Stegostoma tigrinum: one gene and its partner. The protein of the gene in region 2 interacts with the protein of the main gene of each other region in a pairwise test. Links are inferred from orthologs where the notes say so. Each region holds a gene or a part of one and is shown on either strand. Other genes may lie near its edges. The genes, in order: rbm45 and txn2.

Region 1 (16,136 bases), on a different chromosome or scaffold from region 2:
TAGCTCCACACTTTGTTATCTCAGATTCTCCAGCATCTGTAGTTCCCATTATCTTTGATATCTTCTATGCCCAGCTAGTTTTGTGTCATCAGCAAATCTGAAATGTTATATTTAATTCTCCCTTCCAAATTATTTATCTAAATTATGAACAGCTGTGGCCTTGGCACTGGCTTTTGTAGTACACTACAGTTTACAACTGATCAGAAACGGAACTCAACCAGTCATTAAAACATAAGGGTAGGTGAGAGGCGAGATATTCTGTGGTGAGCAACTTACATCTTGCCTCATCAAAATATGCCCACCATTTGAAAGCTGCAAGTCAGAGGTGTGATGAAATACACAGCACATATTTGAAGCGTGCAGCTTCAACGACACTCAAGAACTTCAACACCATCCCAGACAAAATAGCCTGCTTGATTGACACTAGCACACCATCTTCCCTCATTTCCTCCTCCACCAAAGCATAGTAGTAGCATTGTATATTAACTACAAAATGCAATATATCACCTCACCAAGGCTCGACTCTACCATTTAGAAGGACAAGGGTAACAGATGAATGGAAGCAACACCACAGGAAACTTCATGTTTGCTCCAAAACAAACACAGTCCTGACCTCGAAATGCATTGTTGTTCCTTCATTGTTGCTAGGTCAAAATTCTGGAATTTTCATCCTAACCAGTGGGTGTCTGTGAGCACATGGACTCCATCGGTTCATGAAGGCAGTTTACCACTTCTCGAGGGCAGTCAGCAGTGGCCAGTAAATGCTGACTTAGCTAGCAACAGCCATTTACTGTAAAGGAACTCATAAAAATAGCCTTCCAACCCAAAGATGGCTTGTTTACTCCTAATTGCAAATTTAGCATTTTTGATCTCCCTTCCTGTATACACCTTTCCACCAATTTTTGAATTCTTCAATTCTTGCCTTTCACCCAGGAGGCAACTTCTATCCGCTGCTTTCTCTTTACTTCATTGTTCCACACAACTCCTCCTCTTCCAGCTTTCCTGTCATCATTTCACTGTTGTCTTGCTTTATCATTTGTGTTTTGGATACCTTCGACCCCATCAAGCCATTCACCACCTCGCAACCATTACATTCTCAGGGATATGTTTCCATCTTTAAACCCTCAGGTCTGACAGCCACAGGCTCAAGTGTATCCAAGCACATAACCAGTTGCTCCAACCACTGTCAAATGGACCACACTGAGCATACCCCATTTACTAGTCCATGATAAATCCTTTTTCTCCATCAGCTTCTCTGGAGGGTAAGGAAAATCAACAGCGTTTCAGAAAATTACTTCTACTCCATTGTTCACTTTGACTTCTGACCACACCAGAAACTGCGCACCTTTCGCATCCATGACCAGCCCCAAGTCCCAGCTCACACCACCCACCTGACAGCTTTCTTAACCTGGATCAGGCTGCGCGCTTTCACAGGGTAGCGAATTTCCGATTTCACGTCAATTCCCTGAGACATCCATCTCGAAACCTGTTGCTCGCTGCCAGCCATAAGTTATCCACATTGTCTCCAAAACTCTTATCCATAGCCCCGACGATGTTAACTACCCCTCCAGCGGACACTCACCCGATGGCGTCCACGACTTCTACCCGCCCCTGGGGTACGCACGGGGCCCTGTATGGAGGACAGTAGCGGTGAATGGGCTAAGGAGAGGATGGGGGTGGGCTGTTTAGCAGGCACTTACCCCTCGGGACGCCTTCACTTCGCTCTCCACCAGCCGAAGGCGGGCTGTAACCGTCAACAGTCTCGCGATCGACACGCGGCAGGTTGTGCGCAAGCGCGTGCACGTGCTGGACTACAACGTCACAGCACTTGCCCTTCATTCATCTCTTCGTTCATTCATCGAACAGGCTTCAGAAACCGGAAGCTTGCACTGTTATCAGAGCGGCAAGGACTTGTGAGCAAACACGTACACTTGAGGGAGTACCTGAATGCAGAGGGGTAGCGGTCAGGCTTAGCGACGGAATTCTGGGTCCAGTGATCCTTTTCAGAATTAATTGTAGCTAGGAAAAGGCGGGATAGAGGGAATTGGCGGTGCAGATTGCGCACAACTAAATAGGCACAGATTTTGTGCTCAGCAGCGAAGTAAACATGCTCACCCGATGACCTCAAAGGAAGACTTACCGAGCGATCTGATGTGAATATATGTGAAATTGCCCAATTTGGGTGAACAGAAAATCCTCCCTATTTTCACCTCTCCCGATGAGCACCTCGTTTTGGCATGATTTAGCAGGGCTTCCAAGAACAAAGTTGCAGTTGTGTCATTAAAGCTGTGCAATCAGCCAGTCGTACTAAATAATTCTCACTGACAGCCAGCGAGGATATGAAAAGCATTCATAATCGAAGCATGTTCAAGGTTACTAGAGAGAAATAAAAATCGGAATAAACATAGTGACAGAGCGGAAAAGTTTTTTTTAAACGTCAATTTTTCGAAACATGTAGTTTGGTAAATTCAGTAACGCATCATAATGGAGTCTTTTACATTATGTATTTTAAGAAAAATCTGTTGTTCAGTAGTTACTATCAGTTAGAACACCGTTAAGAAACAGATGTTATTGAATAACGCTTATTTGAATACAGTGATATTAGAGGACAAAAGCAGCAGTTAAAGTCATTTCACAGAGTTCTCTGACTCGTGTTGTGGGGCTTGAGTGTGCACAGCACAGCCTGTGGCACAACAGTTAATGATATTTCTCAACTTCGGTGTTAATCTGTACTTGTTAATATTGAAGCTATTTTTAATTTCAAATGGAATAATGATGTCAAACACTCATGGTTTCCTATCAAAATTACCAAAGTGTCAATTAGTCCCACTACCCTGCTCTTTCTCCATTTCCCAAAATTATTATTCTTTTTCACATATTTATCAAGTAGCTTTGTACGTTACTATTGGACTTGATTCCACAAGCATCACAGTCAATATATTCCAGGTCATGCCACCAGCTTTGTAATTATTTTCTCATATCATCTTGGGCTCTTTTGTCAAGTACCTAAATACATATTCTTTGATTGCTGGTCATTCCACATGTTGATTTTGGTGGTGGGCTTTGCTGACACCACTGCTTTCTTGTGTCAGCCTTGATTAAATTCATGGCAGCACGGCTCATGCACAATCCTCCCATGCTTAAGTGTGCAATTAATGCTGTCATCCTTCCCCTCCAGCGACTCACCCAAGGGCAGAAAAAAACTCAAGGATGTTAAACATCAGCTTCTGTAAACAAGCTGGTTTCCCTGAATTGACCTGCATTTGCCCTATGATAGTTTCCCTCCCTCTGAGCCAGGAGGCATGGGTTGAAGACCCACCTGCTCCAGATGTGTATGATACCATCCCTGAATAGGCTGATTAAAAACACCTAAATGCTTTCCCATTGCCAAGGTGTAATTGGTTGAGCTTACATTTCCCTCTTTTGAGCAAGGACATAACGTCTGCAATTCTTGCATCTTCTGATATCACCCCTGAGTGTAAAGATGATTGGAAAATTAAGTCTAGTGCCTTCAGAGTTTCCATTCTCACTTGAGTATTTTTGGATGTATGACATCTGACCTGCTGCGTGGTAAAGTTTAAATACACACAGCCTATCCAGTATGTTCTTAGAATCATAGACTTGCTACAGCATGGAAACAGCTAATCAGCCCAACAAGTCCACACTGACTCTCTGAAGAGCATCCCACCCAGACTCACACCCCCATCCTATCCTAGTGACCCTGCATTTCCCATGGCTATTTCACCCAACACACACATCCCTGGACACTATGGGCAATTTAAATTAGCCAATTCACCTAACTTGCAAATCTTTGGAAAGTGGGAAGAAACTGGAGCACTCAAAGGAAGTCCATGCAGACAGTTACCTGAGGCTGGAACTGAACCCAGGTGCCTATATACAGTGAGGCAGCAGTGTAACCATTGAGCCACCATGCCACCGCTTCTTATCAATTTTAAAATCTTTAAGTGTATAAGCTATCTTGTCTTAACCCATGATATACAATGTCTTCTTCCTTGTTGAAGACAAAGACAGCATCTTCTTCCTTGTGCACAGCAAAGTCCCACAAAAATCAATGCGATAATTGCCAGAAAATCCTGTTTTTGTGACTGAAGATAAATATTGGCCACAATATCTCGAATAATTCACAAAATATTTTTCAGAGTAGTAACATAAGATATTTTATATTCACCTATGAGAACAGACAAAGCTTTGGTTTATTCTCTCATCCAAGGGCAACATCTCACATAGTCCAGTAATTACTCTCTGGTACTGGACTGGAGTGTCAGTCTTGAATTCTGTACTCATGTCCTGGAGTGACATTTGAACCAAATACATTCTGAATCAGATACATAAATGTTAAGAACAGAGATAAGGCTGGAACAAAAACACATGTTGCTGGAAAAGCTCAGCAGGTCTGGCAGTATCTGTGAAAAAAAAATAAGAGTTAATGTTTCGGGTCTTGTCACCCTTTCTCAGAACGCTTTTGGTTTTTACAAGGCTGGAACAAAGATTTTAAAGAGTTAGCTTGAATTTGGTAAGGTACGTCTAAGGAACCTAAAGGATTTTTTTGGGAAGTAACTACTGTATTTGGCAGGGGGATATCTAGTGGCTATAATTTTTCACATGACTGACTAATTGGTATGTGTGAAATGTTTGACAGAAAGATCTAAAAACAACAGATGTTGGTCATTAAGTTACATCCATGAGCTCTCAGTTCGAAATCATGTTCAAACTGGTGATTTTTTTCTGATGTTTACATTGGAAAATTTGTTCAACGTTGCTGTAAGTCACGTGGAAGTAAGCAAAAGACTATTACTGACATTACTAGTAGATCTCACCTCTTCTAAGTTCTTAACTGAGCTATACTCCCTAAAAGTTTCCAGACAGCACTTCAAAAGTTGTTTCAGAAGGTTTTGTACTCATTCATCAATTATTCACTATAAATGGCATAGATAACACACTACAGGGCCATACGTGTAAGTTTACCAACAACACAGAATAGCGGCATAATTTGTAATGTAGAATATAGCATTACAAAGCAATGATGAGGATATTGTAAAACATTGGCAGATAGATTTAAACACAGATAGGAGAGAAGTAATCTTTTTTGAATGAGAAGGAACATATTTAAGTACTTATGTGTCATTAATAACATGAAAAAATGAAGGTTTAAGTAAATTGAAGGGACAAGAGGTGACTAACATTTGCCATAGCTGTACAAAGCCCTTTTTGGCACAGTGTGTATAACTCTGTAGAGTACACCTTAAAAAGGACATATTAACATTCTAGACTGTAGTACAGAGCACCAAGATATTCCTAGATTATGACAAGGGACTAAGTTTGTATTCTTTTGTTCTTCTTAGGCAGTCCCTCGGGATCAAGGAAGACTTTCTTGAACTCCAGCGTTATCAGTCCTAATAAAATAGTCTAGTGCTAGATCCACAAATCCTACTGCAGATGGAGTACGTGGTGTTTGCTGAAGCAGATGGGTGTGATTCACAGATTTTTGCATGCTTTTTGCATTTGACCTCTATCTGGGCTTGTTGGAAATATGTGAAATGGTTGGCAACCTCCTCCAGTTTGGACAGTCTTGGATTAGAGTTTCCCATGCATTTATTGGGGATATTGGGATGGCACAGTGGTTAACACTGCCAGGGACACAGTACCAGGCTCGGATGACTGTCTGTCTGGAGTTTGCACATTCTCCATGTGTCTGCATGGATTTCTGCTGGGTGCTGCTGTTTCCCAAAGTACAAACATTTGCAGGTTAGCTGGATTTGCCATACTAAATTGCCACATAGTGTGTCCAGGGTCACCCAGCCATGGTAAAAATGGTATTACAGGGAATAGGATGCTGTTTGGAGAGTTGTTCCAGAAGGCTTTGAGGACACTTTTGAAGCATTTCGTCTGTCCTGTTGGTAACCACTTTGTATAATGATGCCTAGAAAGCTTCTTTTGGTTGTTGTGTGTCAGGCATTCAGCCAATGTAGTCTGCCCTACACAACTGATTGATTGTAACCAGTGGTTTGATACTGTGCATATTGGCCTGAGAGATGACATTGATATAGGAACACTTATGGTGAACATGATTGAACATTTTAGGATTTTTAAAGGGATAAGATCACTGCTAAGGGAATCTCTTATCATGTATCCTTATCTGCGAGCAAAAATTTTCAAGAAAGAAAACAGGAAACACTTCTTTATGCAATGGAGAAAGCAGTCAATATTAGTTCAATTAATAATTTTAAATTTTAGGTCGAGAGCTGATGGCGTTAAGAGAAATGAAATCTTGTTGAGTGAATACAGATCAATCATTGTTTCATTCAATCATAGACTAGAAAAACTGATTGGCTTCTGACTATTCCTACAGCCCTCCCTTAACGATTTCTTTCGCAGTAGTGAAAACCATTTTTATCATCATAACTATTCATTTTTCATATCCATACTAATCTTCTGTACTGCATATCCTTTTCATTGGTTCCAATCTGTTAGCGTACAAGTATACAGGTGACTAGAGTTAGCAATTTTAAATAGGCAACAAAAAGGGTGAAGATTTATAGATATTAAAGGAGACAAGTTATAGCTGTGATAATGTGATAAATAATAGATTCTCGATTAAAAAGCACTGTTTTCATGTGTGGCAAGGTTGTATCATAAATGCACAGACTATTTTTTCTGAATTCTCTATTGGTCCAATTCACAGTGCTGGCTGCAACACCTCCGACCCCCCCCCCCCCCCAAAAAAGAGCTGGAAGAGAGACTGAATCCTGTACTGTTGACACCAATCTGAGCAATATTCGCTGTCCAGCCAACAATTCCCACCTTGATCCCCAGCTACTGTCGCCAACACACTTTTTTATTAGGTGCTTATTTTAAGCGTGGAAGCTTTAAATATTGAGTGATGCTAAAGGCTGAAATTTCTTTTCGTATGTTTACAATCTCCGTTCCTTGATTTATACTTGAACAGGTAACGATAAAAAAGGTCTCCTTGCTCCACCATTCGATATTAGATCAGTGCAGCTCAGAAACAAGATGCGACGGCCTATTTCTCAGCTTCACAGAGTGCGATGGGTCCAGTTCCTCAGCATCACGGAATGGGGCGGGCCCAATTCCTTGGAGTCACTCTGCGGCATGGGCTACTTCCTCCGCATCACAAAGCGAGGCGGGACCAGATCCGGTATGTCACCAATGGGACGGGGCCGGTTATTTCGTGTCCCCGTCGGGGGCGGACCGGAACTTAAAAGCGGAGTTAGGCGGAACCTGTTCTTTTGTGTCACGTGACGTGCTGGCGGTTGGTGGTCGCAGTGTATGCGCTGGATTCGCGATCATGGAGGATAGTGGAAGCTCGCGTCCAATGGCAAACCTCGATCACCCGCCTAACAGTCGGCTCTTTCTGGTCATCAGCAAATCGACATCGGAGGAGGTGATCCGAGAAAACTTTTCTTTCTTCGGTGAGATCCAGGACATTTGGGTTGTGCGGGACAAACAGAACAAAGATCACAAGGGCATCGCGTACGTAAAGTTCGCCAAATCGTCGCAGGCCTGTAGAGCGATGGAGGAGATGCACGGCAAGGCCTTGACGGAAGACACCAAACCCATCAAGGTATGTTACAACTGCCACCTTCGTTTCTGCTAAATGCGGAGCTCGCTTTCGACTCTGACCGCACCTGATCATGGGCCCGAGTTAATGAGGTGGGAACCCCCGTGAGACTGTAGCATGTTAATCTGGTTACTAATAGCCTTCTGATCCTTGTTTGTAAGATCTTAAGATTTTATGTTGCAGCCAAAACCAGTTGGACTTAAATTGTTGTAGTCTTGAAAAGTCTTAGACCACAGTTTCGATTCCATTATTTTAGCAAAATCGAAATTATATTTTGAGTAGAGAGAGAGAGAGAGAGAGAGAGAAAAGGCGAGGGATTCATTAACGGTAACAAAGTCTAGAGCTGGATGAACACAGCAGGCCAAGCAGCATCTCGGCACAAAAACTGACGTTTCGGGCTTAGACACTTCATTAGAGAGGGGGATGGGGTGAGGGTTCTGGAATAAATAGGGAGAGATGGGGAGGCGGACCGAAGATGGAGAGAAAAGAAGATAGGTGGGGAGGTAGGGAGGGGATAGGTCAGTCCAGGGAAGACGGACAGGTCAAGGAGGTGGGATGAGGTTAGTAGGTAGGAGATAGAGGTGCAGCTTGGGGTGGGAGGAAGGGATGGGTGAGAGGAAGAACAGGTTAGGGAGGCAGAGACAGGCTGGGTTGGTTTTGGGATGCAGTGGGGGGAGGGGAAGAGCTGGGCTGGTTGTGTGGTGCAGTGGGGGGAGGGGACGAACTGGGCTGGTTTTGGGATGCGGTGGGGGAAGGGGAGATTTGTTTATCTTGGATTCTCCATGCAGTTCCCATTATTTCAGATTCATTAATGGTACATGGCCGAATATGAACCCTGATCGTCCTGAGGAAATGGAAATACCTGATTTAGATAAGCGAGGGTGAATATTTAGAGCATAAGAACTAGGAGCAGAAATAGGCCATCTGGCCCCTCGAGTCTGCCCTGCCATTTAATAAGATCATAGCTGATTTTTTGAGACTCAGCTCCACTTACCTGCCCATTCACCATAACCCTTAATTCCTCTACTGTTCAAAAATTTATCTAACCTTGCCTTAAAAACATTCAGTGAGGTAGCTTCAACCGCTTCACTGGGCAGGGAATTCCACAGATTCATAACCCTTTGGGTGAAGAAGTTCCTCCTGACCTCAGTCCTACATCTGCTTCCCTTTGCTTTGAGGCAATGCCCTCTAGTCCCAATTTCACCTGGCAGAAACAACCTCCCTGCCTCCACTTTATCTTATACCCTTCATAATCTTATATGTTCCTATAAGATCTCCCCTCATTCTCCTGAATTCCAAAACTGCACACAGTGCTCCAGAGGTGTAGCCTCACCAGGACCTTATACAACTGCAGCATTGCCTCCCTATTTTTAAACTCCATCCCTGTAGCAATGGCAGATGAAATTCCATTTGCCTTTTTAATTGTATCAGAGATAATAGTGTGCAGTTTTGGTCTCCTTACTTGAGAAGAGATATACTAGCACTGGAGCAGGTGCAGAGGAGATTCACTTGGTAGATTCCAGAATTGAGAAGGTTGGGTTATGAGGAGAGACAGAGTAGACTGGGATTATACTCATTGGAATTCAGAAGAATGAGGGGAGGTCTTATAGAAACATCTGAGATTTTGAAGGGAATGGGTAAGGTGGAGGCAGGAAGGTTGTTTCCGCATGCAGGTGAGACTAGGACTAGAGAGCATTGCCTCAAAATAAAGGGCAGCAGATGGAGGACTGAGGCCAGGAGGAACTTCTTCACTCAAAGGGTTGTGAATCTGGAATTCCCTGTCCAATGAAGCAGTTGAAGCTACCTCGCTAAATGTTTTTCAGGCAAGGCTAGATAAATTTTTGAACTGTAAAGGAATTGAGGTTTATGGTGAGTGGGCAGGTAAGTGGAGCTGAGTCTCAAAAAAAAATCAGCCATGATCTTAAGTGGATGTTGCTTGGCCTGCTGTGTTAATCCAGCTCTATTTCGTGTTACCTTGCCTTTTTATTACCTGCAGCACCTGCAATCCTACTTTTAGCGATTCATGCACAAGGACACCCCAGTTCCTCTGCGCAGCAGCCTGCTGCAATTTTTTACCATTTAAAACATAGTCCATTTTGCTGTTATTCGTACCAAAATGGATTTCAAACATTTGAAGGTGCAGACCTGTGAAAAGTAACTGTTTATTTCATTACATTAAGTGACGGAAATACTTAGCTGGCCCAGAAAATTTATCTGTGGAACAAGAAAAAAATAACTTGAGTTGAATATAACTTTGCCCAACTAAAGGCGGGTAGAAATAGCATGTCAGCCACCACTCCTTGCCATGGGACCTTGGCAGTTTTCCAACGTTAACATGATCAATGAGTAGTAGAGGGTTTGGGAAGTTTTGCTTTACACTTTTTCTGAACTCAACATTGTGTCTAACAAAAAAAAAGGACCTTGGAAATCTGAAACAAAAACAAATTGCTGGAGAAACTCAGGTCTGGCAGCATCTATGGAGAGAAAGCAGAATTAATGTTTTGAGTTTAGTGACCCTTCTTCTGAACTCGTTCCAGTCAAGGGTTACTGGACTTGAAACACTAATTCTGCTTTCTCTCTACAGATGCTGCCAGACTTGCTGAATTTCTCCAGCAAATTATGCTTTTGATCAAGTCCAGCAATTATAGACTCTGAACTTTGTCCCTCATTTTCATTGTTTTCCTGTGATTCCCTTGCTTGAACACTTTGAATTATTTCTTTGTTTCCTGTTTTTTTTTAACTTGTGGGCTTATCTTCAAGTTTTGCCAGCTTCCTTGTCATACTTCTGTAATTGGATTTAAGTCTGAAATTCTTTGTTGAGACTGGAATTGGTCACTTACAAACTTTGTGTGGAATCTGGTTTGACTGCAGTCCCTTTTATCCAGGCAAGTGGAGACAGGTTCTGAGTGGACCAAAACTTGGCAGTCAGAGTATAATATAGGAAAACGTATAAAGTTTTTTAAAATTTCGGCAGGAAGAATAAACAGCACAATATTGCTTAAATGAAGAACAACTGTGTAACTCCAAGGTGCACAGGGATTTAGGTGTTCTGGTCCATGAGTCACAAGAAGTTAGAACATAGGTACGGCATATAATCAAGGGTAGCGTGAAGCTAACCTTTTATTATGAAAGGAAATGAATAAAAAACTAAGTGTTATGCCTTAGTTGCACAGCATAGTGATGAGACTGCATCTCAAATGCAGTGTGCATTTTTGGCCTCTTACTTGAGGAAGGGTGGAAATGCATTGAAATTGGATCTGGCGAGGTTTGAGGCTGAAGTGCGTTGCGTTATGAAAATAGGTTGGACAGATTTGTCGTCTTTACACTTGAGTTTAACAGAGTGAGGGGTAACTTGAAGTATGTGAGTTCTTGAATAGTCTTGATAAAGCGGACATGGGTAAATTGTTTCCTCTTCTGGATTAGCCCAGAACCAAGGAGCACTGTTTTAAGGGTCACCCTTTCAAGACAGATGAGAATTTTTTTTAAAAAAGAGTTGTGTGACTTTGGAACTCTGTGCTGGAAGTGGAGTAATTTAACGTTAGACTATAAAAATCAAATGTTAGGGTAGATGGAAATATGAAATTTAAAACACAACTATGGTTTTATTGAAAGGCGGAGTATGCCCATTGGGCTGAATAGTCTACTTCTGCTCGTTTTCCGTTTGTTCATGTAAACAAAGCAAAAGCTAATCCTGTCTCAAAGTTCAAAACTAAATATGGAATAGCTTAATCCCCAATTGTTTCCGCAACACATTATTCTAGGAAAATACAGAAAAGCATGAGCCATCTTCCATAATACCTATGCCAATTTTATTTGCCAAACTATATGAAGCTGAAAGTCTACTCACCAGTTAATACATTGAATTATTGTTTGTTCTCTGTCCAAATATATGATTACATTGAGGGGAATTATTAGTTATTCCTGTTGACATTTTCTGCTTCATTATGCTAATTTACCTGATTCTGCAGAGATAAAGCCCACTTCTTCTGAGTAGGTGCCTCAAGGCTCAATAAGGAGGCTCATAATCTGAAGTCCTCTCTTCTGCTTCATACGTAAAGCCATCTTCCTAGGGAGAAGCCACTTCAGTTTGCCACCTTTTAACTTCCTAGCTGCAGAAAATCTGATTGTTAGTAATGCCCTTTACCTTGGCTCTATTCTGGCACCACACATTGGCAGGCTTGCATAAATATCTATCTGAACCCCATCTGTGGAATTTCCTATAATGGTTGCTTTTCTTGGCCTTTGTTCCCTTTATGCAGTCCATTGCCTTTTGGTGCCTTGATCCAGTCTATATTTTTTTCATGATGTTGAGTCTCATCAAAACCCCATGCTGTTTAGCAGATTGAGGTACACCTTGAATTCCTGCATTTCTTCATGCAAGTCTGCATTACCACCCATCTACCCTCTACCTTCCAGCCTGTTGGGGTGGCATCTTCATGGAACATGATGATCTAGTCTCGCCAGGCTCCAGAATCTCCTGGCCTCAGCTTTGCTCAAAATAAGGTGCTAAGATCTGAGAAATGGAACAAGCTCTCACTTCCATCCAGGTTGTTATGATGGGAGGAAGTTATATATTTCATGCTGTATTACTCTATTGTACTTAAATTCTCTTGTGCATATGAAGATATAGGCAGTCTCAGATTTTTAACTGGGCTGTTTGGAAAAGGCATTGAGGGTGTCACAAATTTAATTCCAGATGTGGAATCCATAGGTACAAGTTGTTGTTTTAGCAACAGCTGAATATGTCTCTGTCAAAAAAAGTAAATAACGTACTGCAATAACAAAACAAGTGTTTCATTACAGTTTTTGGTATTGAACTAAAGAATTTTGAGGCTGTTTGGCTCGCCAAGCTGGTTTGTTGTTGAACAACAAACCATCTCGACAAGCCAACCAACCTCAACACCCACTACTCGAGCCACAGATCTACTCCAAAACCTTAGGAATGACTGAGTCATACGGTAAAGAAGAGGCCTTTCAGTCCATCATGTCTATACTGCCAAAATTACTAACTGCACTAGTCCCACTTTCCCACACTAGGCCCTTTAGCAGTTTAAGACAAGGTCAGCGCTTGGAATATCACAAATTTTACAGTACAGAAGGAAGCCATTCAGCCCATCAAATCTGTGCCACTTCTCAAAATCTGTCACTCATTGGTTGCATTCTCCTACTGTTTCCCCATTATCTTGCAAATTGTTTATTTTCAAAAAACCATCTAATTCCCTTTTTAAATGCTTTGATTAAATGTCTCCTCCAGACTTTCTGACTGTGCATTCCTGATCATAATCACTCAATTGTTTTATTACTGATATTAACTTTTTTCTAATAATTACTTGAAATCTGTGCTTTCTCATTCTTAATTCTTTAACATGGGAACATTTTCTCCCTGTATGCTGTCAAAACATCTCTGCTGAAAATCAAGTGATTCCTGAGGCTTTTTCTGCTTTAAAAATATAGGTTGTTTGGAAAAGAATTAAAAGGGAGAACAATTCGTAATTCAAAAATACTCTAATTTTATAGAGAAACATTGTAACAGATGTGTGATCATCGCCCCATCACCACATGAGCTGTTCAGAAAAAGAAATAAACCAACTTAGTACAAATAAAACTTTAAAAATGAGTCTTCCAGCTTTTTTCCACAGAGCTTTCAAATTTATTGCAGTCTGCACTTAGTAAAGGAAATTGTTTTATCGGTACAGCTAATAGAGTGCCATTCCAGTCCTCATTTATAAAACCCCACGTTGTGTTTTGATTATCAATCTGCTTATTGTTTTAAAGTTCTAGATTTAAAAGGCACAGCCTGTGCTTTACAATCTATGGTATTTTAAACAAACTTATTTTTAAATGATAAAACAAAGAACTACAGATGCTGGAATTGTGAACCAAAAGCAGAAATTGCTGGAGAAACTCAGCTGATCTGGCAGAATTTACAGGAAGAAAGCAAAGTTCATGTTTTGAGTCCAATGATCAATAAGTTCTAATGAGTGCTTCTTGAAGTTATCTTGCCACCAGCTTCTCAAGAGCAGATGAATAAATAAAACAAAACATAGATTTTGGGCAGTGTTCTTCCATTGGAAATCTCGATTTCAGTTTAACCATATTCATTAAAATATTCTTTGTTAAAATCTTGCCATTTCTGCATTTTCCATGTGCTATGTTGAAATAGGTGCTCCAAGGACTGGAAGAAATAATAAAAAGAGCAGCTTATATAGAGTTTTATTTTGCAAAAGTCACACACAATTGTTACTTTAAAAAAAATCATTCAGCGATATGAGTATTGCTGACAAGATTGACATTTTATTGCCCATTCAAACCTTCAGTGAGAAGGTGATGATGAGCAGCCTCCTTGAACTGCTACAATACTTAGCACTGTGGGTGCCCCACACCCTCAAGAAGAGATTTCTAGGATCTTGATGCAACAATGTTGGAGGAAAAGCAATGTAGCTCCGAGTCAGGATTGTGAGATACTTGGAAAGAAAGTGCACAGGAACATCACCTGCAAGCTATCGTCCTTTCCCTTCCAACTGGTAGAAATCATGGGTGTGGAAGGCGCTGTTGAAGCAGCCTTGATGAGTTGCTGCAGTGCATCTCATAGATGTTACACACTGCTGTGTGTCAGTTGTGAAGGGAATAAATATTGAATGTTGTGGATAGAGTGCCAACCAAGTAAGCTGCTTTACCCTGATGGTGTTAAGTTTAAGTATTGTTAGAGCATCAACCATCCAGGCAAGTAGAGAGCATTCTTTTACAATCCTCATTTGTGCCTTGTAGAAGCTGGACAGGAATTTGAGAAATAAGGGATGCGTTACCCTGTGCAGAATTCCTGGCCTCTGACCAGCGTTGTAGTCACTGTGTTTAATTGGCTGGTCCAGCTGAGTTTGTGGTCAGTTGTAACACCACATGCACGCACACGCAGGATATTCACAATAGGGAATTCAGTGGCAATGCCACTGAATGTCAGGGTGGTTGAATTCTCTCTTGTTGTATGTAGCCATTGCCTAGCGTTTGTGCGACACAAAGGGTTGAAAGAAATGTAGAAGGGCTTTAAGTGGTTGGGGATTTATTAGTGAGGGGAGGAGACATGTGCTTCCCCAGAATGGTACGTTGCCCCCTGGGTACCAGGGTCAAGAATGTCATGGGATGGCTGCAGGGGAGCGTTTTGGAGACAGTGACCATAACTCTGTTAGATTTAGGACAATTATATTTTTAAAAAATGGGGCCAGGAATAAAAATTCTCATCTAGAGAAGGCTAATTTTACTAAATTAAGATAATTTGTCCAAGTGGACTGGAAGCAATGACTTGCAGATAGAACTGTCAGAGCATTGCGAAGAGTTGAAGGAAAAATAAATAGAGTAAGTACAGGGCAAATATCTTCCTGAAGAGATGTGATCGGACAAAGGTTCGAGAACACTCAATGTCAAACATCTTTAAGGTTATAATGAAGGGGAAAAAAGGGCTAATGACAGACATCAAGGGCTTCATACAGCTGTAGCTGTGTATAAAAAGTGCAGTAGGGAAATGGGAAGCATTGGCAGGTATAATAAAGGAAAGCTCAAATGTTTCTTTATAATGATAACAAGCAAGTGAATAATTGAGTCAGGCCCATTAGGAGCCTTAAATTATGATGCGTGTGTGTGGATGCAGTAATTAAGCACAGTTTTCAATTAATGCAGTCTTCACAATAAAAAAGGACAATGCATTTTTGGACATCAAGGTGGAGAATGGAGAAATATTACAAGAAATTAACATACAGAAGGTACTTGCAGGTTTAGCAACCTTTAAAAATAGATAGATCTGCAGGGCCAGATGTGATGTAACCCAAGCTATTAAGGTAACGGAAGAGACAGGAATCTCGGTGATAATTTTTAAATCCTCTGTGCTTGTAGATGAGGTGCCAGCGAACAGGAGGACTGGTGATAATGTCCCATTATTTAAAAAAAAAAATGGGAGGATGGTGAGACCAGTCAAAGACATTAATGGTAGGAAAGTTATTAGACAGATTAATTGGAGGTAGTCAGCATGGATTTGTTAAGGGACACTCGTGTTTTAATAGATTTGATTAAATCTTTTGAGGAGCCAACAACCAGGAGAATTGATAGATTAATGCATTTGACGTTGTCTACGTGTATGTCAGCAAGGCTTTTGGTAAGGTCCTGCGTGATAGATTGATATGTATGACATGCCCAAGAAGGAGTTTTTGGCAACCAGGGAAAAGTGGCATATTGGACCCCAGACTGCCCGAGAGGAAGAGTATTGAGGGTAATAGTAGAGGGATGGTTCTGTGACTGGAAGTCTGTTTCCAGTGGGGTTCTGCAAGGCCGGGTGATGGGGCCCATGTTTGTGCTGTACATTAATAATTTGGACTTCAGTCTCTTGATCATAACTTCCAGATTTGTGGATGGTGCGATAGTTGGTAGGGTGCTAAACAGTAAGGAGGATGGTTGTGAACGGCAAGAGGAAATCGACAGACTGTACTGCTGGCAGAGCAGTGGCAAATGGATTTCAACCTGGAAAATTGAGGGAAGGCAAAGGATTACA
Region 2 (16,684 bases):
CCAACCAGTCCATACCGACCATAATCCCAAACTGAACTAGTCCCATCTGCCTGCACTTGGCCCATATCCCTCCAAACACCTCTTATTCATGTACTGATCCAAATGTCTTTTCAATGTTTTAATTGTATTTGCATCCACCGCTTCCTCTAAAAGTTAACTTCACTCGAACCACTCTTCAACCTCCTACACTGGTGAAAAAAAGGCCCAGCCTATCCAGCCTCTCATTATAATTCAAACTTTCTATTCCCAGCAACATCCTGGTAAATTTCTTCTGAACCCTGTCTAGCTTAACAATATCCTACCTCTCATTCACAATTCAAATTTTAACAATTGACATGTTGACTATAACAGCATCCTTTACATTTGTCTCCTGTTCTTACACAGCCATAAGCTAGAGATTTCACATTTATTTTCAATTAATTCATTACCTCAATGATTTCAACTTTTCCTGGTTCACACATAATTGAGTATTCCATTGTTCTTTGCAGCTTTCTTCTCCAACCACCCTTTTGGAGCTTCCTTCTTTACCGCCCACCTTGCAGCTCCTTCTTTGACTCCCTTGAGAAGTGCATCATTTGTCCCTCTCTTACAGCATCTCCTCTTTTCACCCCACCCCACCAACCTCAGCTGACAGCAATCTAGCCCAGAGCCATGCTCAGCAGCAGTTCCTCATTGATCCTGTCTTTCTCGCTCCTGGGATCAATCTTGCTCTGACTGGCTGCTTTTAAGGGGGTGGACTGCTGGCTGAGACATTGCCTTGTTTTGCTTCCCTCACTTAAAGAGGCATAGAGCCCTGTGTAAGTACATGAATAGTAAAGGTTGGGAGGGATTTGGGCCAGGAACAGGCAGGTGGGATTAGTTTAGCTTGGGATTATGTTCAGCATGGACTGGTTGAACTGAAAGGTGTGCTTCTATTTTGTTTGGCTGTATAACTTCTCCAATCCCTGATTCTCAGTAAAAAAAGTCTTGGAAAATTTAGTTCATTTTACAAGTCTCTGAACGATCCTCAGTTCTTAGAATGGTGCAAAAGGGGCTTATGAGGATCTTCAGTTGTGTTGATTAGTAAATGTGCAGATGACAAAGGTTGGTGGAATTGCAGATAGTGATGAGGACCATCAGAAGATATAGCAGGATATAAATCGGTTGGTGACTCGGGCAGAGAGATGACAGATAAGAGTTTAATTCAGAAATTGTGAGGTAATGCATTTTGGAAGGTCTAATCCAGTTGGAAAATATACAGTAAAGGGCAGAACCCTTAAAAGTACTGATAGGCAGAGGGGATATGGGTGTACAGGTACCCAGGTCACTGAAAGTGGCAACGCAGGTAGAGAAGGTAGTCGACAAGGCATACGGTATGCTTGCCTTCATCGGACAAGGCATCGAGTTTAAAAATTGGCAGGTAATGTTGAAGCTTTATAGAACTTCAGTTAGGCCATATTTGGACTACTGTGTTCAATTCTGGTCACCACACTAGTAAAAGTATGTGGTGGTTTCAGAGAGGGTACAGAAAAGATTTACCAGGATGTTGCCAGGTATGAAGGGCACTAGCTATGAGGAAGGGTTGGACAGACTTGAGTTGTTCTCACTGGAATGACGGAGGTTGAGGGGTGACCTGATAGGGGTCTACAAAATTGTGAAGGGCATGAACAGAGTGGACAGTCAGAAGCTTTATCCCAGGGTGGAAGAGTCAGTTACTAGGGGGCATAGGTTTAGGTGTGAGGGGCAAGGTTTAAAGGTGATATATGAGGCAAGTTTTACATGAATAGGATGCGAATAGAGGGACACGGTCCACGGAAGGGTGGGTAGGGGGTTTTAGTTGCGACAGGATGTTGGTGCAGGCTTGGAGGGCCAAAGGGCCTGTTCTTGTGATGTAATTTTCTTTGTTCTTTGGAGAACTAAAAAAGCTGATGTCCTCCTTACAGCAGAGGTGGATATGAAAAAATTTAACAAAAGTTTAAAATCTTTCAAGGTTTTTATGACAGCAGTAAAGGACCAACGGTTTCTCTTCACAAAACTGAAGTCACCCTCAACTCTCACTAACATTGGTCTGCTCGGTTAAGCCCACCAGCACATTACCTCTGGGCAGACCACTGCACTTAGGCAATGACCACATTGTCAAGCATTGCCCAAAATGTAGTGATGAAGGTGCATAAACCCATCAAGAAATGGAACAAAGTCAACTCACCTTGCGTGGAAATCCACCAGAACCAGTTTTTTGTTGTTCAGAACTCGGTCAGTGAAATCTGTCTTGTTCTGTACATTGAAAGTGTCACTACAGGCTGGAGAATCACAAAACCCTCTGGAGAAAGGTGAACCTGCTTGATGTATGAAGGAAGGCTTGTGGCTATGCCAGGAGAGTGTGTTCAGGCTGGGCAACAAAGCTGAGGGTGGAGAGCACACTGAGCCACAGGATTTCCTCAGGTTTGGGCAGATGAGTCTCCTCAGCAAGAGCCTTTGAGCCATCTGTAAAAGCAGCCTGTTAGTGTCAGAACCTGCAGACAATTTTAAATGTTGAACTACAGCAACAGCCTCCAGTTACCTCACTTTAAATAAGGTCCAGTCAATTTTTCAATTGATCAGAATGACAGCATTACACAACTGTTGAATAAACGGTATCAATCCATGCAACAAGCAATGTTCCATCCTGACCAGTGACATTCACAGATAATATACCTGCTTGGTGGCAAATTGTGTCTCAAATTAGATCTTGTTTTTTATTTCATAGGGTGCGGGCAGTGCTGGTTAGACCAGGAGTTAAAAGCTGCATGCTTGAAAATGCAATCCATGTGGTGCTTAGTACATCACTCCATTTGCTGGGAAGATGTGAGGGAACGGTGATAAAGTTCAAAATCAGAATGGCGTGAGACTTGGGTAGGACTTGCAGGTGGTAGTGTTCCAGTAGAATGCAGTATATTCACAGGCTTGTGTTGTACCTTCACACATTTGTTTTGATAATAGTGGGGATGTGTTGGAAGAATTACTAGTCTGACTATAAGCCCAATGAACCAAGTCATGAATGTTCCTTCTATGGTCAACTATTCCCAAAGTTGGGCTTGAAACCAGAGCCTCTGGCTATGAACACCACCCAGTAAGCCATATTAGCATTGCCCCAGTTTGGAGACAATCAGTGAGTGGCAACCAGTGTCTATACGTGGAGACTAAGCAAGGACAGAACTGGACTTAACTGTGACTGAAAGCAAATAGTTTGCCTCTTCTGAACAGCACACATGGATGAAATATTCTGGGCACCCGATAGTGGTAGCATCTCAAGGGGTTGAATGGTTTAACTCAGTTTGTATTTATATGTAGCTGCTCCCTAGAAATGAATTAATACTATCCCAGCTAAGGACGCCAGCAGAGTGCAAATCATCAATGTCTCTGCAACCTAGAACAGCAGAAGATCAGACCAGGGACTTAGCCAATCAATAGGATTTATTACAATGCAGGAAAGTTACATCAGTCATAAGAGAACAGTGCTTCCACAGCCTGTACAAATTCACGTCAGGGCATTTCTATTGAAGCTTGAAGCTTCTGTTGTCTTGCAGGGACAAGAATATTCCATTGAGGGAGAAAACAAAAATCAAGCAGATCACATGGATTAATTCTAATCATCATTTAAATATCACAGACATACTACAGCAATTGCACAGGACTAAGTTCAGAGAGATAAGAACATGGGACTTCAGATGAGATGTACATCATTCACCACCACCCCCCACGAGATCTTTAAATTTCAATCAAAAATAAAACCAGTCTCCTCTATCTTCTGGTGAAGAGAATGCTGCATTCCAACAACCCTCAGAAAAGATTTCATCTTCATTTCTGTATTAAAAGGGAGTCAGGCACAAACAATTTGTAACGCACAAAGAACAAAGAGCAGAGGACTAGCATTACAGCTCATCATACAGCGATTAGAGTAAGCAGCCACTCTCTGAACATCCTATTATCAGACCACACACTGGTCTACCAAAAAATGATGATGCCACAGATTGGGGCAGCATGGTGGCTCAGTGGTTAGCACTGCTACCTCACAGACCAGGAACCCGGGTTTGATTCCAGCCTCAGGTGACTGTGTGGAGTTTGCACATGCTCCCTTGTGTCCGAGTGAGCTTCCTCTAGGTACTCCTGTTTCCCCCCACAGTCCAAAGATAAGCAGGTTAGGTGGACTGGCCTTGCTATATTATCTATAGTGACCAGAAATGTGTGGGCTTGGTGGATTAGTCATGGGAAAATGGAGGGTTATGGGGCAAAGGTAAGGCCTAGGTTGGATGATCTTCAGAAAGGCGGTGTGGATTCAATGAGCTGAATAGCATCTTTCCACACTGTAGGGATCTGATGATTCTATCAAGGATTCAGCTTGTTTTTTGCTAAACTCAATAAAGGGAGTTTGTTCAATGGGCCACCTTGCTCCTACTGAGTTTTTCAACCTATTGGGAAGAAAGCAATTTGTCATGGTTTGGCAAATAATTGGACCTGCCTGTGTGCCCAAAGTGTCACAGACGCCCAGAAACAAACCACTTCATTTATTCACTTGTAGGACGTGGGCACTTGCCAGTCCTTGAGTTGCTGTTGATGAGCCACATTCCTGAACTACTACAATCCATATGCTATAGGTACAATGCTGTTGGGATAGGGGGAAAGACAGTGAAGTCAGGATACTGAGTGGCTTGAAGGGGTATTTGAAGGTGGTCTTGCTCCCATTTATCTTCCGCCCTTGTGATAGTGGTTGTGGGTTTGGAAGATGCTGTCTAAAGATCTTTAGCAAATTTCTGCAGGGCATCTTGTAGACAGTACACATTGCTGCTACAAACATTGGTGATAGAGTGATTGAATGTTTGTTAATAATGATGCAATCAAGCAGCGTTTTGCCCTGGATGGTGTCATGCTTCACTCATCCAGGCAAGCAGGGAATATTCCATCATATTCTTGGCTTGTGCTATGTAGATAATGGACAGGCTTCAGGGAGTCATGTGGTGAGTTACTCTGACCTGCTCTTGTAGGGACTGCGTTTATGTGGAGAGTCCTGTTCAGTTTCTATTCAATGATAACCCCCAGGATGTTGATAGTTGGAGACGCAGTGCTGGTAATGGCATTGAATGTCAAGTTAGACTTTCTCTTATTGGAAATGGTTACTGCCTGACAGTTGTGTGGTACAAATGTTTCCTTGCCACTTTTTGGCCCCAATCCTGGATGTTGTCCTGGTCTTACTGCAGTGGGCAGCTTCGGTATCTGAGATCTCTCAAATAGCACTGAAAATTGCTTTCTGGTAGCTGCACATTTCCACGTCAGACCTTATTTTATAGCTTGCTTTATTCAAAGTGACTGCAAGCCAGTCTGATTGGCTACAGGAATTCCAATCACATTACATCTTCAGCAGATATTCACAGAGGGTCACTGCATTACAATGAAGGAGCAAGAAGCAATTTGACTCACCCCACATGCATCCTGGATTCAACATTTTTCTCCCACTCCAAGACCATCCCAGCTGACAGTTACAAATCCAATAGGCTGGAAATCAATATTTAACACTCCTACACTGATTATTGCCACAGTAGTCCATCTACAGGTAATTGTTAACTTTCTCTACAAACCAACAAAGGCCTTATCTGTCCCTCTCCTTGAGTTTCTCTCCACGCACACACTACACCAGGTTTATGTATGTTCTCTACCCTCAAGGCATTCAAAAGTCAATCATTTTCCTGTGGAACTGGAGAAACGTGCAGGTCAAAGCAGGCAAGGTTAACAATTCATTTACCCTCTCTGAAGGACATGGATTGGGTTTTTATGACAGTCCGTGATTGTTACATAATCTACGATAGCCACCGTTACAAAGGCCACCTTTCAATGCCAGACCTTGTAAACTGAATTTGAATTCCAATTGCTGCCAATGACAGGATTTTAACCAGAGTCCCCAGAACATTAACCTGGACCTCTAGGTCACTAGACAATTACATTACCACAATACCACCTTCTCCCATTTACTTCTCTCTCCCGCCCCCACCATAAGACTTTTATTACTTTTCTCGCTCTCTTCCCTCTCCGAATTTTTATTCTTTTTCCGTTTTCTCTCTCACCTCTCCAGCTTCCACACGAGGCCAAAGTACCTTCCGGTTTAACTTACGTCACGTCCTGGAAACTGTTTCCCAAGTTTCTTCACGATATTGGAATCGGCGCAACTGCGCAGATGTATCAGTGATAATGGGAACTGCAGATGCTGGAGAATCCAAGTAGTTCCTTTGTTTAGGGATGGACCGGGCTGACAGTTTGCTCCTTTCGATTTGTAAATGGGGGGAAGGTGGGCAGAGGTCGACTGAGATACAAAGGAGATTGGGGAGGAGAGAGGTGACCATCATCTTTGTAAAGGATCTCGTGGGCGGTGTTAAGTATCACGTGGTGTGTCATCCAACCCCGCCCACTGCCCTCTGCTGCTTTGACCCTTGTGGCTGATGCTTTGATTTTGCAGTGTCTTCGAGTGGCTTATTAGACAGTTACAAATTATATTGATGTGCCCAACAACTACAAGCTGCTAAAACAAAATCATAGGGTGGAAATGACTTGTCATTTTACACATTAGATACAAATGCCCAGAGCTAACTAATAACATCTTCATTTAGTCTAAAAATAGAAGAAACTCAACAGGTCCGTCACCATCTGGAGAGAGAAATAGAGTTAACATTTTGAGTACAATATTTCCCAGTACTATTTGTGATGTTCAGTACCTGAAGTACTTTATTTAAACACATTTGCTGATTTTAAAGTGACTCACATAGAGTCATACAGCACAGAAACGGACCCTTTAGCCCAACATGCCCATGTCGACCAGGTTTCCTAAACTGATCTAGTCCCATTTGGCTCATATTCCTCTAAATCTTTCCATCCATGCATCTGTCCAAGTGCTTGTACTCACCTCTGCCACTTTTCTGACAGCTCATTCCATGCACACACACCACCTGTATGAATAAGTTGTCCCTCGGGGATCCTTTTAAATTCTTCCCCTCTCACCTTGAATCTATGCCCTCTAGTTTTGGACTTCGCTGAGAGAAATACCTTGGTTATTCACCTTATTTATGCCCTTCATGATTTTATAAAACTCCATAACCTCACCCCTCAGCTTCCTACACTCCAGAGGAAAAAAGTCCCAGCCTATTCAGGCTGTCATAACTCAAACCCTCCAGTCATGGTAAGATCCTAGTAAATCCTTTTTGCACCCTTTCCAGTTTAATCACAGCCTTCCTATAGCAGGGTGGCCAGAATTGTACGCTTTACTCCAAATGTGGCCCTACCAATATCTTGTACAGTTGTAACATAACATCCCAACTCCTGTACTCAATGTGCCAAATGTCTTCTTCATCACCCTGTCTACCTGTGACACCACTTTCAAGAAATTATGTATCTGCACCCCTAGGTCTCCCTATTTGACAACACTCCCCTGGGCCCTACCAATAAACGTAAAGTCATGCCCTGTTTTGTCTTACCAAAATGCGACATTTATCTCAATTAAACTCCACTGCCATCTCTTGGTCTACTGGCCCAGTCTATCAAGATCCCGTTGTACTCTTAGATAACCTTCTTCACTAAGGTTTTAGAGTAGATTTGTGGCTGAGGTTGTGGATGTTGTGGTTTGTTCGCTTGCCAAGCTGGCTCGTTATTCCACAGACGTTTCATTACCCTGCAGGGTAACTGTTTCAATACCACCAGTTCAATTGGGACAACACCGGGATCCTGGGACAGGCGAAGCAGAGACAAGCACGGGAATTCCTAGAAGCCTGGTTCTCCACTAAGAAAGCCATTAATAAACATTTAGAGCTAGACACTGTATACACACCATTGCGAAGGAAAACCGGAAGTGAGGTAACCCAGATCAACGGATACCAGAGTTTAAATGACAGGTGGGAAACCACAACAGCACTTCATCAGAGGCTGCACTGATTATGTTACCCAAGAGGGCAATGAAATATCTGCGGAACAACAAACTAGCTCGTTGAGCCAACGAATCACAACAACCTTCTTCACCGTCCACTATACCACCAATTTTTGCTGGTGATATGCCAGCAAAGTTTGTAACCATGCCTACTATATTCTCATCCAAATCATTTACATAAATGATGAACAACATTCATCACCTAGCAGTAATCCTTGCATCACACTGTGATCACAGACCTCCAGTCTGAACAACAATCCTGTACCACAACCAACTGCCTCCTATCGTCAACCCAATTTTGATTCCAATTGGCTAGCTTTCCCTGGATCACATGTGATTTACCCTCACAAACCAGCCCACCATGCTGAACCTTGTTGAAGACTTGCTAAAAACCGTGTAGACTTCCTTCCATTGACTCAGTCTACATTTCCCTCTGTCTCGGGAAAGCAGCCAACATCATCAAAGACCTCTCCCACTCCAGTCATACTCTCTTCCACCCTCTTCCATTGGGCAGAAGATAGATAAGTTTGCAAGCATGTGTCACTGAATTTAAGAACAGCTTATTCCTCGCGCTTATCATACTTATGAATGGATTTCTCTGATATTAGAATTAATCTTTCTCAGCATCTTCTCTGTAGCTGTAACACTATATTCTGCATTCTGTTCTGTTATACTGATTGTACCCCTGGATGTATGATTTGTCTGGTTAGCACGTAAAACAAATTTTCCACTGTATCTCAGTACATGTGACAATAATGAATCAAATCAAATCAAATCTGCCTTCATCTTTCTTATCGGTCACCTCTTCAAAAAATTCAATCAAATTTATGAGTCACGACTTCCCACACATAAAGCCATGATGACTATCCCTAATCAGTCCTTGCCTTTCCAAATGCATGTAGGCCCCATCTCTCAGAATCCCCTCAACAACTTACCTATCGCTGACATCAGGCTCACAGGCCTGAGTTACCTGACTTTTCCTTCCAGCCTTTCTTTAATAAAGGCACAACATTTGCCATCCTCCAGTCTTCCAGCACCTCCCCTATGAGCATCGATGATACAAATATCTCGGCTGAGGGCATTGGAATTTCCTCCCAAGCTTCCAACAATTTCCTGGGATACATTTGATCAGGTTCCAGGGATTTATCTACCTTTATGCATTTTAAGGTCTCCAGCATTTCTTCTTCTGTAATGTGGACTTCCCAAAACCAGCCCAGCTTGTCCCCTCCCCCCATTGCATCCCAAAACCAGCCCAGCTCGTCCCCGCCTCCCTAACCTGATCTTCCTCTCACCTATCCCCTCCTCCCAGCTCTAGCCGCATCTCCATCTCCTACCTACTAACCTCATCCTGCCTCCTTGACCTATCCATCCTCCCCAGACTGACCTATCCCCTCCCTACCTCCCCACCTATACTCTCCTCTCCACCTATCTTCTCCTCTATCCATCTTTGGTCCGCCTCCCCCTCTCTCCCTATTTATTTCAGAACCCTCTCCCCATCCCCCTCCCTGATGAAGGGTCTAGGCCTGAAACGTCAGCTTTAGTGCTCCTGAGATACTGCTTGGCCTGCTGTGTTCATCCAGCCCCACACTTTGTTATCTTTTCAAGACATCACTGTTTATTTCCCTGAGTCCTTAGCTTCCATGTCTTTCTACCTAGACTGTATTGAGGACACCCCTTGCTAATGTTGTTTGTGTCTCACCACAAATGCATAGGGAGTTTGTACTAAAGACAATCATAGAATCTCTACAGTTTGGAAGCAGGCCATTCAGTCTATCGAGTCCATACTGAAATTTCAAAGAGCATACCACCCAGATCCACACCCCCCGACTCTATCCCTGTAACTCTGTATTTCCTTTGACTAGTCCACCTAGCCTGCACATTCCTGGATAGGCAATTTAGTACGGCCAATCCAGCTGACCTGCACGTCTTTGGACTGTCAGAGGAAACTGGAGCACCTAGAGGAAACCCATGCAAATACAAGGAGAATGTGCAAATTCCACACAGAAAGTTACCAAAAGGTGGAATTGAACCCAGGTTCTGGGCAGCGGTACTAACCATGGTTCAGTTTCACATTGCATTCCCTGTCAGTACGCAAGGTGCCCTTGAGAATCAAATGATCCCCCAGTAGGAGAATTCCAAGAGAAAATTAAATGACTCTGAAACAGCCCCTAGCAGAATCCCAGTCACCCAGAACCACAAATTGTTAGGTCAATCAAATCTGTTTGCTGATTCTCCCCTCTTCTGTTCCATATCATGAAACAGATATTCCCCAATCTATGCCTATATATTTATACAATGACATGTCTTCAGGTACGGTGGTGTCGGCAAAGTAGGTAGTGTTCAGTCTCCTGATCCCGTACGCTCCAGGCCATTTGCATCCTTCTCTCCCTCCATCCTTTTTGGACTTTTTCTTTCCCGTTTTTTCTTTTCATCTTCTAACAACGTGGGGAAGCTGGAACAGTGTGGGTGGGGCATTGGCTGCAGGGGCGGCAGTGCTTGGAGCAAGGAATCCTGGCTGTGGGTGGCTTGGAGTGTGGACTCATGGATTAGGCCGGTCATTGGCTGCGGGGTGGCAGTGCCCGGAGTGAAGACTTATGGCTGCAGTAGGACCAGAGCGTGGACTCAGCAGGTCTTTGGTTGCAGCAGTTGCGGTGCCTAAAGCAAGGACACCAGACAGTGGAAGACCTGCATCAGAGATAATGGGAACTGCAAATGCTGGAGAATCGAAGATAATAAAATGTCAGGCTGGATGAACACAGCAGGCCAAGCAGCATCTCAGATGAAGGGTCTAGGCCCGAAACGTCAGCTTTTGTGCTCCTGAGATGCAGCTTGGCCTGCTGTGTTCATCCAGTTTCACACTTTATTATCCGTGGAAGACGTGTAGCTTGGATACGTGGACTTGGCAGGTCATCACTAGCGGCAATAGCAGTGCCTGGAGCAGGGACTTGTGGCAGATGCGGTGCCTGGAGTGGGGACCTCTGTTGGGGTATGCTTGAAGTGTGGACTCTTGGCAGGGTCGTTATTGCTGTACCCAGAAGAAGGACACCTCACAGAAGCCCTGGGGCTGTGCCTGAAGAGCCCTTGTACAGAAGATGAACTCTGTTCCAAAACTTTATTCTGTGCCATAATAATTCTGTGATTTCATCCAGGTCAAGTCTCAAGATCATATAAAGGTATATAAATAGATTAATATATGTGTTTATTTATAAATATTTATAAGTAAACTAAATTAATTCTAAACATTTGTATTATGTGCAGTTCATCCTATAAATCAGGTTAACTGAGAACTGCATTCAGAACAGATACATCAATTTGATTTCTGTCTAGTTGTCTTGTATAGACCTGTCAGTTCCAAGCAACATTTCTGGCCTTAGGAATTCAGTAGCTCTTCCATACATTCCATGCCTCACTCTTTAGTCTGCGCCTTTTTCTCTCAGTACACCAACCATAACATGTAGTTTTCTAACCTACCAAATCTTCCCACAGCTTAAGACAGCAACAGCTACTGTTCTTAAAAAGAAGTTTACTCATGTCGAATGCTGATGTATGTGTCAGAAAGCTTTTGTTGTCTGGCACTAAGAACTGCAGAGAAATCAAGGAAGTTGTATTTATATAGTACCTTTCATGACCTCAGTACATAGCCAATTAAACATTTTTTCATTGAAGTGTAGATGTTGCAGTATTGTTGGAAAAGTTACAGCTGATTGATGCACAGCACAATTCCACAAGCAGCAGCATAACATGCCAGCTGTACCTTTTTAGTTGTACTCTTGCCTCTGAGTCAGGAAGTTAGGACAGGGCATTTGTCCTTGAGATGGGGATATGGGATTTTTTTTGTATCCACCTGAGAGGGCAAGTAGGGCTTTGGTTTAAATGAGACAGCTCCTCTGATGGTATAGCATTCCCTCAGCATTCCATGAGGACCGGCCTTGACTTTGTATTTAGGTTTCTATAGTAAAACGCGATCTCATGATCTTCAGATATAGAGGTAAGAGAGTGCTACCAACTGAGCCATGTCTGCTATCTATCTGCTGCTGGATAGTATCAAAGGTGAAGTTGTTGCTCATCCAACTCTGACAGTTCAGGAAAAGCTTCCATTGGCCATTGATGTACGTTATTTTGAACCCACATCAGAATACAGACAGCAACCAGAGCTAGAGGGTCTAGGCTCGAAACGTCAGCTTTTGTGCTCCTAAGATGCTGCTTGGCCTGCTGTGTTCATCGAGCTTCACACTTTGTAATCTCAGAATACAGACAGGCTGCCGTTGGAGTAGATAACCTGATGAAGATAGAGAGAAAATTGAGACAGATTTTGGGGAGAGAATAGCCTTTGATAGTGTCACTGGACTAGCAGTCTCACTGGACCTGTGTTCAGACTTAGTAGGAACTGCAAATGTTGGAGAATCTGAGATAACGAGTTGTAGATTGGATGAACACAGTAGGCATTTTAGGAGCAGGAAAGCCGATGTTTTGGGCCTAGACCCTTCTAGCTTCCTGCTCCTATGATGCTGCTTGGCCTGCTGTGTTCATCCAGCTCTATACCTCGTTATCTCTGTGTTCAGACTTGTAGTTTTAAGGCTGGATTAAATGTCAGGCATAATTTAGAGCTAGCACACTCACCTCTGAGTCAGAAGGTTATAGGCTCAAATCTTATTCCAGAAGTCTTTGTTTCCAATTTTCAGCATCCACAGTTCTTTGTTTCTATTTTTGTAAGAAACTATAGATCAATTAGTTTAATGTCTGTCTTTGGGAAATTTGTTAGCATCCATTATTAAAGAAGTAATAACAGGACATTTGGAAAGTCAAAATGTAAACCATCAGTGTCAGCATGTTTGACTAATTAGCTAAGAGTTTTTCAAAGACATAATGACAAAAGTAGATAATGGGGGTCTCATGGATATAATATATCTGGACATCCAGAAGGCAATTGATAAGAGCCACACAAAAGGTTAATAGGCAAGGTAAGATTGCATGGGGTTAGGGGTAATTCAAGGGCTATTTAACCCTCAATCATTTAGCTGCACTGAAGTACTACTTCTTGCAGGCTTCTTCCAAGCCCTCATAGTTTACCCCAACACTGACCCAATGATCTTGTCACTCTCTCAGCTCTCCATGACTTCTTCTCAGCCCTGACCACCCAGCTAATCAACTGCTTTTAACATCTTTACGTAAGACAGCTATTCAGCACTCTGAACATGGAATACCCAGTTTCGGTACATCTAGAGAGTGTCCCAGAGCTGCTTTTAGTGACCTCTGAACTATTCTGAGTGACCTTCCAAAAAACTTGTAAGAAACACTTCCCTTTTTGCAGGGCACAATTGAATTCTGCCAACCAGCTACCCTTGGAACTAAGTCGTTCCATCATCATTACATTTTCACAGAATGCTGGAAATGAATTTCTTTACTAGTGAAATCAGAAATTGAGAGAAACCCCCATAAAATAGTGAGTGAGGGCTGCAAGCTCACATGTTCCATGTAAAACTAAAACACAGACTTCTCCAAGCCATGGAAGTTACAGGCAACCAGGGATCCCACGTAATACTCTCTATCCCAAACCTGTTATGTGACAATGGTAGCATTTCCAGAAAGAGAGGCTTCCATCTAGGATCTGTCTCCTCTGGACAATGAGGCATTATGTTATACTGTGTCTGGATATCTAATGCGATCAAGGAAGTTGAGGGAACATAAGAGAGTATCCGTGTAGGAAACCCCTCAGCTGACACAGAAGGGATCTCCAAGAGAAAGGTCCAAAAGTAGGGTTGAGCCTCCTGTGGGATGTTTTGGAGACTTGTACTGGCAAGAATTTCTGGCAAAATGAAAGGGATCAACACAGACAGGAATGGCTCACATGCTTGTGCCAATTAGAATTGAGCTAGGTAACACATTCTTGAGGAGCTTGATGGTTTTAGCAATGTGTTGGATGCTTCTCAGGAACATGCTTTGTGCCAGCTCTTTCAGTGGTATTTGGCCCCTTCCTCCAACATCCAGTACATTCTCAGCTCTAGTTGCTCTGGGCTGCCCACATGCTCTCCACCCCCAGCTATGCAAACACATACTGATGGAAATGTAGATTTCTGAACAATAACTCCTGGACATTCACAGCCATTCCTGCTGAAAATACAGCAGCTGGCAGCACCTATGCTCCAGACCCTTATTTGTTCCTGTTAAAAGACAAGTAGCTCTTGCAAATATCTGTAGATCCCCTCCCAAGTAAATAAACTGGAACTGCAGGTTATGCTGTCGATGCAAGAAATACACTGAGTGTGAGAACCAAGAAGGTTTGACATACATATCTTCACTCAGGGTCTGAAGATTGAAAATCAGTGCTTAGTAAACACCATCATCAGACTACCATTTTAAAGTGGGGGACTTAGCACCAGAGCAGAGACCTACTGCATATTTTCATTCAAAACAAAATTGACAAACTGCCTCTTTACCTTGATGTAAAATTTAAGACTATGGACCAAAGTGACAAACCAGTATCAGAGCACATTGGCTACTAGTTTATCAATGACCAGCGCTTGACCCCTTCTCATGACAATGAATCATAGCAAAAATTACTTACAGAGATATTGAACTTTCAAGTAAGATATGTCGTTTTTGCTCATGTTAAAAAAGGACAGACCAATCAGAGGTGGCTGAGAGTATAATTCAGTGACTGTCTGGAAAATTCCTGTAGGAATTTCACCCAGCCTCAAGAAATCTAGAACGTTGCACTTGGAAGGGATCAAAAAATTTCAAAGAAAGAGATACAATGCAAAAACCTGAATCATCTCTGGTGACAACAAAGTGTGAAGCTGGATGAACACCGCAGGCCAAGCAGCCATGTGCTCCTGAGATGCTGCTTGGCCTGCTGTGTTCATCCAGCTTCACACTTTGTTATCTTGGATTCTCCAGCATCTGCAGTTCCCACTATCTCATCATCTCTGGTGAGTTACATTATGCTCATAATGTGACATAAATGAAAGTAGCCTGGGTGAAACACGTCTTGTGTTGCACTCTGCCATGAATACATGAAAAGTGGTTGAAAACCAACTGCACCTCTGGTGTGTGTGCATTAGTCTGTTGTTCTCGCGCTGACGTGCTGTTTTGTGGCTCTCATGCTACTGGGCTAAAGAATGGTGTGAAAGTTACTGGTGACAGTACCTACAAGACACTCTAGCACTTGCAGTTAAAGAGAAAAGGAATACAAAGTCTCTCTTGCTCAGTAAGTTGCCAGTCATAAGTGACAGATGAACAGGAAACCAGACAACTCCTCTCAGAAAATGCATAGGGCAGGTGCTTTTGTGGTGCAGTAGCAGTGTATCTACCCCTGAGACGGGAGGCCTGGGTTAAAGTCACACCTGCTCCAGAGGTGTGTTGTAACATCTCTGAATAGGCTGATTAGAAAGTATGCCAGAATACTAACCCTGGTTTGATCACAGTGCCTTGTTTTGCATTCTTGCACTCTTACATTCTTAGCAACATGCACATTAATATAAAAATTAGAAAATGTCAGAAATGCTCCATAGTTCAGACAGTATCTATGGAGAGAGAAACAGAGTTAATATTTCAGGTCAACAGTCTGTCGTCAGATCTGGATAAAGTTAGAGATGTAATGGTTTGTATACGTGATATCTTAAATGCAATTACACACTTCTTCAAGGACTAAGTGATCTCCTTATTCCTCCTATCAAAATGCAACACTTCACACTTACCTGTATGGAAATTACGTACACACCCAATTTTCAGTGTAGTAATAGCTTGTATTTTGTCAGTTTTCTTCAGTATTTATCTGAAGAATTTTTCTTCAGTATTTATAGAGAGCATGAGCAGCTGGAGGTTATTGTACACTTTGGTATCAATGACATAGGTCCTGCAGACTGAATATAGGGGTTTAGGCAGGAGGTTATAAAGCATGACCTCATGGGTAGTAATTGCCCAGTGCAACATGCTGTTGAGAGTAGGAATAGGGGAATAGGGAAGATGAATGCATGGCTGAGGAGCTGGTTCTGGGGGCAGAGATTCAAATTTTTGGTTCATTGGAATCTCTTCTGGGGCAGAAGTGACATGTATACGAGGAACGGTTGCACCTAAACTGGATGGAGACCAATATTCTGCTGGGCAGGTTTCCTGGAGCTACTTAGGAGGATTTAACCTAGTCTGGAAGGGGCTGGAACTCTCAGTATTAGTGAGACAAGAAGAGAGGGTTGATGCTGTTGAATGAGACCAAGTAAAATAGAGAAGGCAGGCAAGAGCACAGCAGATAATGAGGGAAAACTGATGAATTAAACTGCATTTATTCCAATCCAAGAGGCCTGACGGGAAAGGCAGATGAACTCAGGGGATGGATGGGAAGGTGGGACTGGGATATCATAGCTATTGTAGAAACATGGCTGAGGGAGGGACAGGACTGGCAGTTCAATGTTCTGGAGTACAGATGCAAAGAAAGGATAGAAACAGAGGCGGGGGGGCAGTGAGAGATGTTTTTGATTAGGGAAACATTAGGGCAGTCCTTAAGACAGGGGGATTGTCCAGCAAAACCAAACAGGTGAAACTCAGAAATAAGAAGGGGGTGATCACTTTGGTGGGATTGTACTACACATCCCCCAATTGTCAGCAGAAAATTGAGGAGCAAATTTGTAGGAACATCACAGATATCTGTAAGTATAATACGGTCAAATAGCAGGGAATTTTAACTTTCCAAACATAGACTTGTATTGCAATAGTATTCAGTTCTTAGATGAGGAGGAATTTGTTAAGTGTGTTCAAGAAAACTTTCTC

The links.
Region 1: the proteins of txn2 (region 2) and rbm45 interact in binary tests that used the Homo sapiens proteins (3 or more experiments, as listed by UniProt). The two-hybrid records come from large-scale screens. The link is inferred for Stegostoma tigrinum from reciprocal best matches to the Homo sapiens genes TXN2 and RBM45.

Annotation. Positions count from the first base shown.
Region 1 is NC_081360.1:44,821,982-44,838,117, reverse strand, and holds the start of rbm45 (RNA-binding protein 45), read left to right. Parts: upstream 1-7,252; 5' UTR 7,253-7,327; coding exon 7,328-7,603; intron 7,604-16,136. UniProt on the Homo sapiens protein: RNA-binding protein with binding specificity for poly(C). May play an important role in neural development.
Region 2 is NC_081391.1:3,479,789-3,496,472, forward strand, and holds the start of txn2 (thioredoxin, mitochondrial), read right to left. Parts: upstream 6,332-16,684; 5' UTR 6,122-6,331; exon of another isoform or gene 6,075-6,121; intron 5,718-6,074; exon of another isoform or gene 5,434-5,717; intron 5,061-5,433; exon of another isoform or gene 4,989-5,060; intron 2,464-4,988; coding exon 2,186-2,463; intron 1-2,185.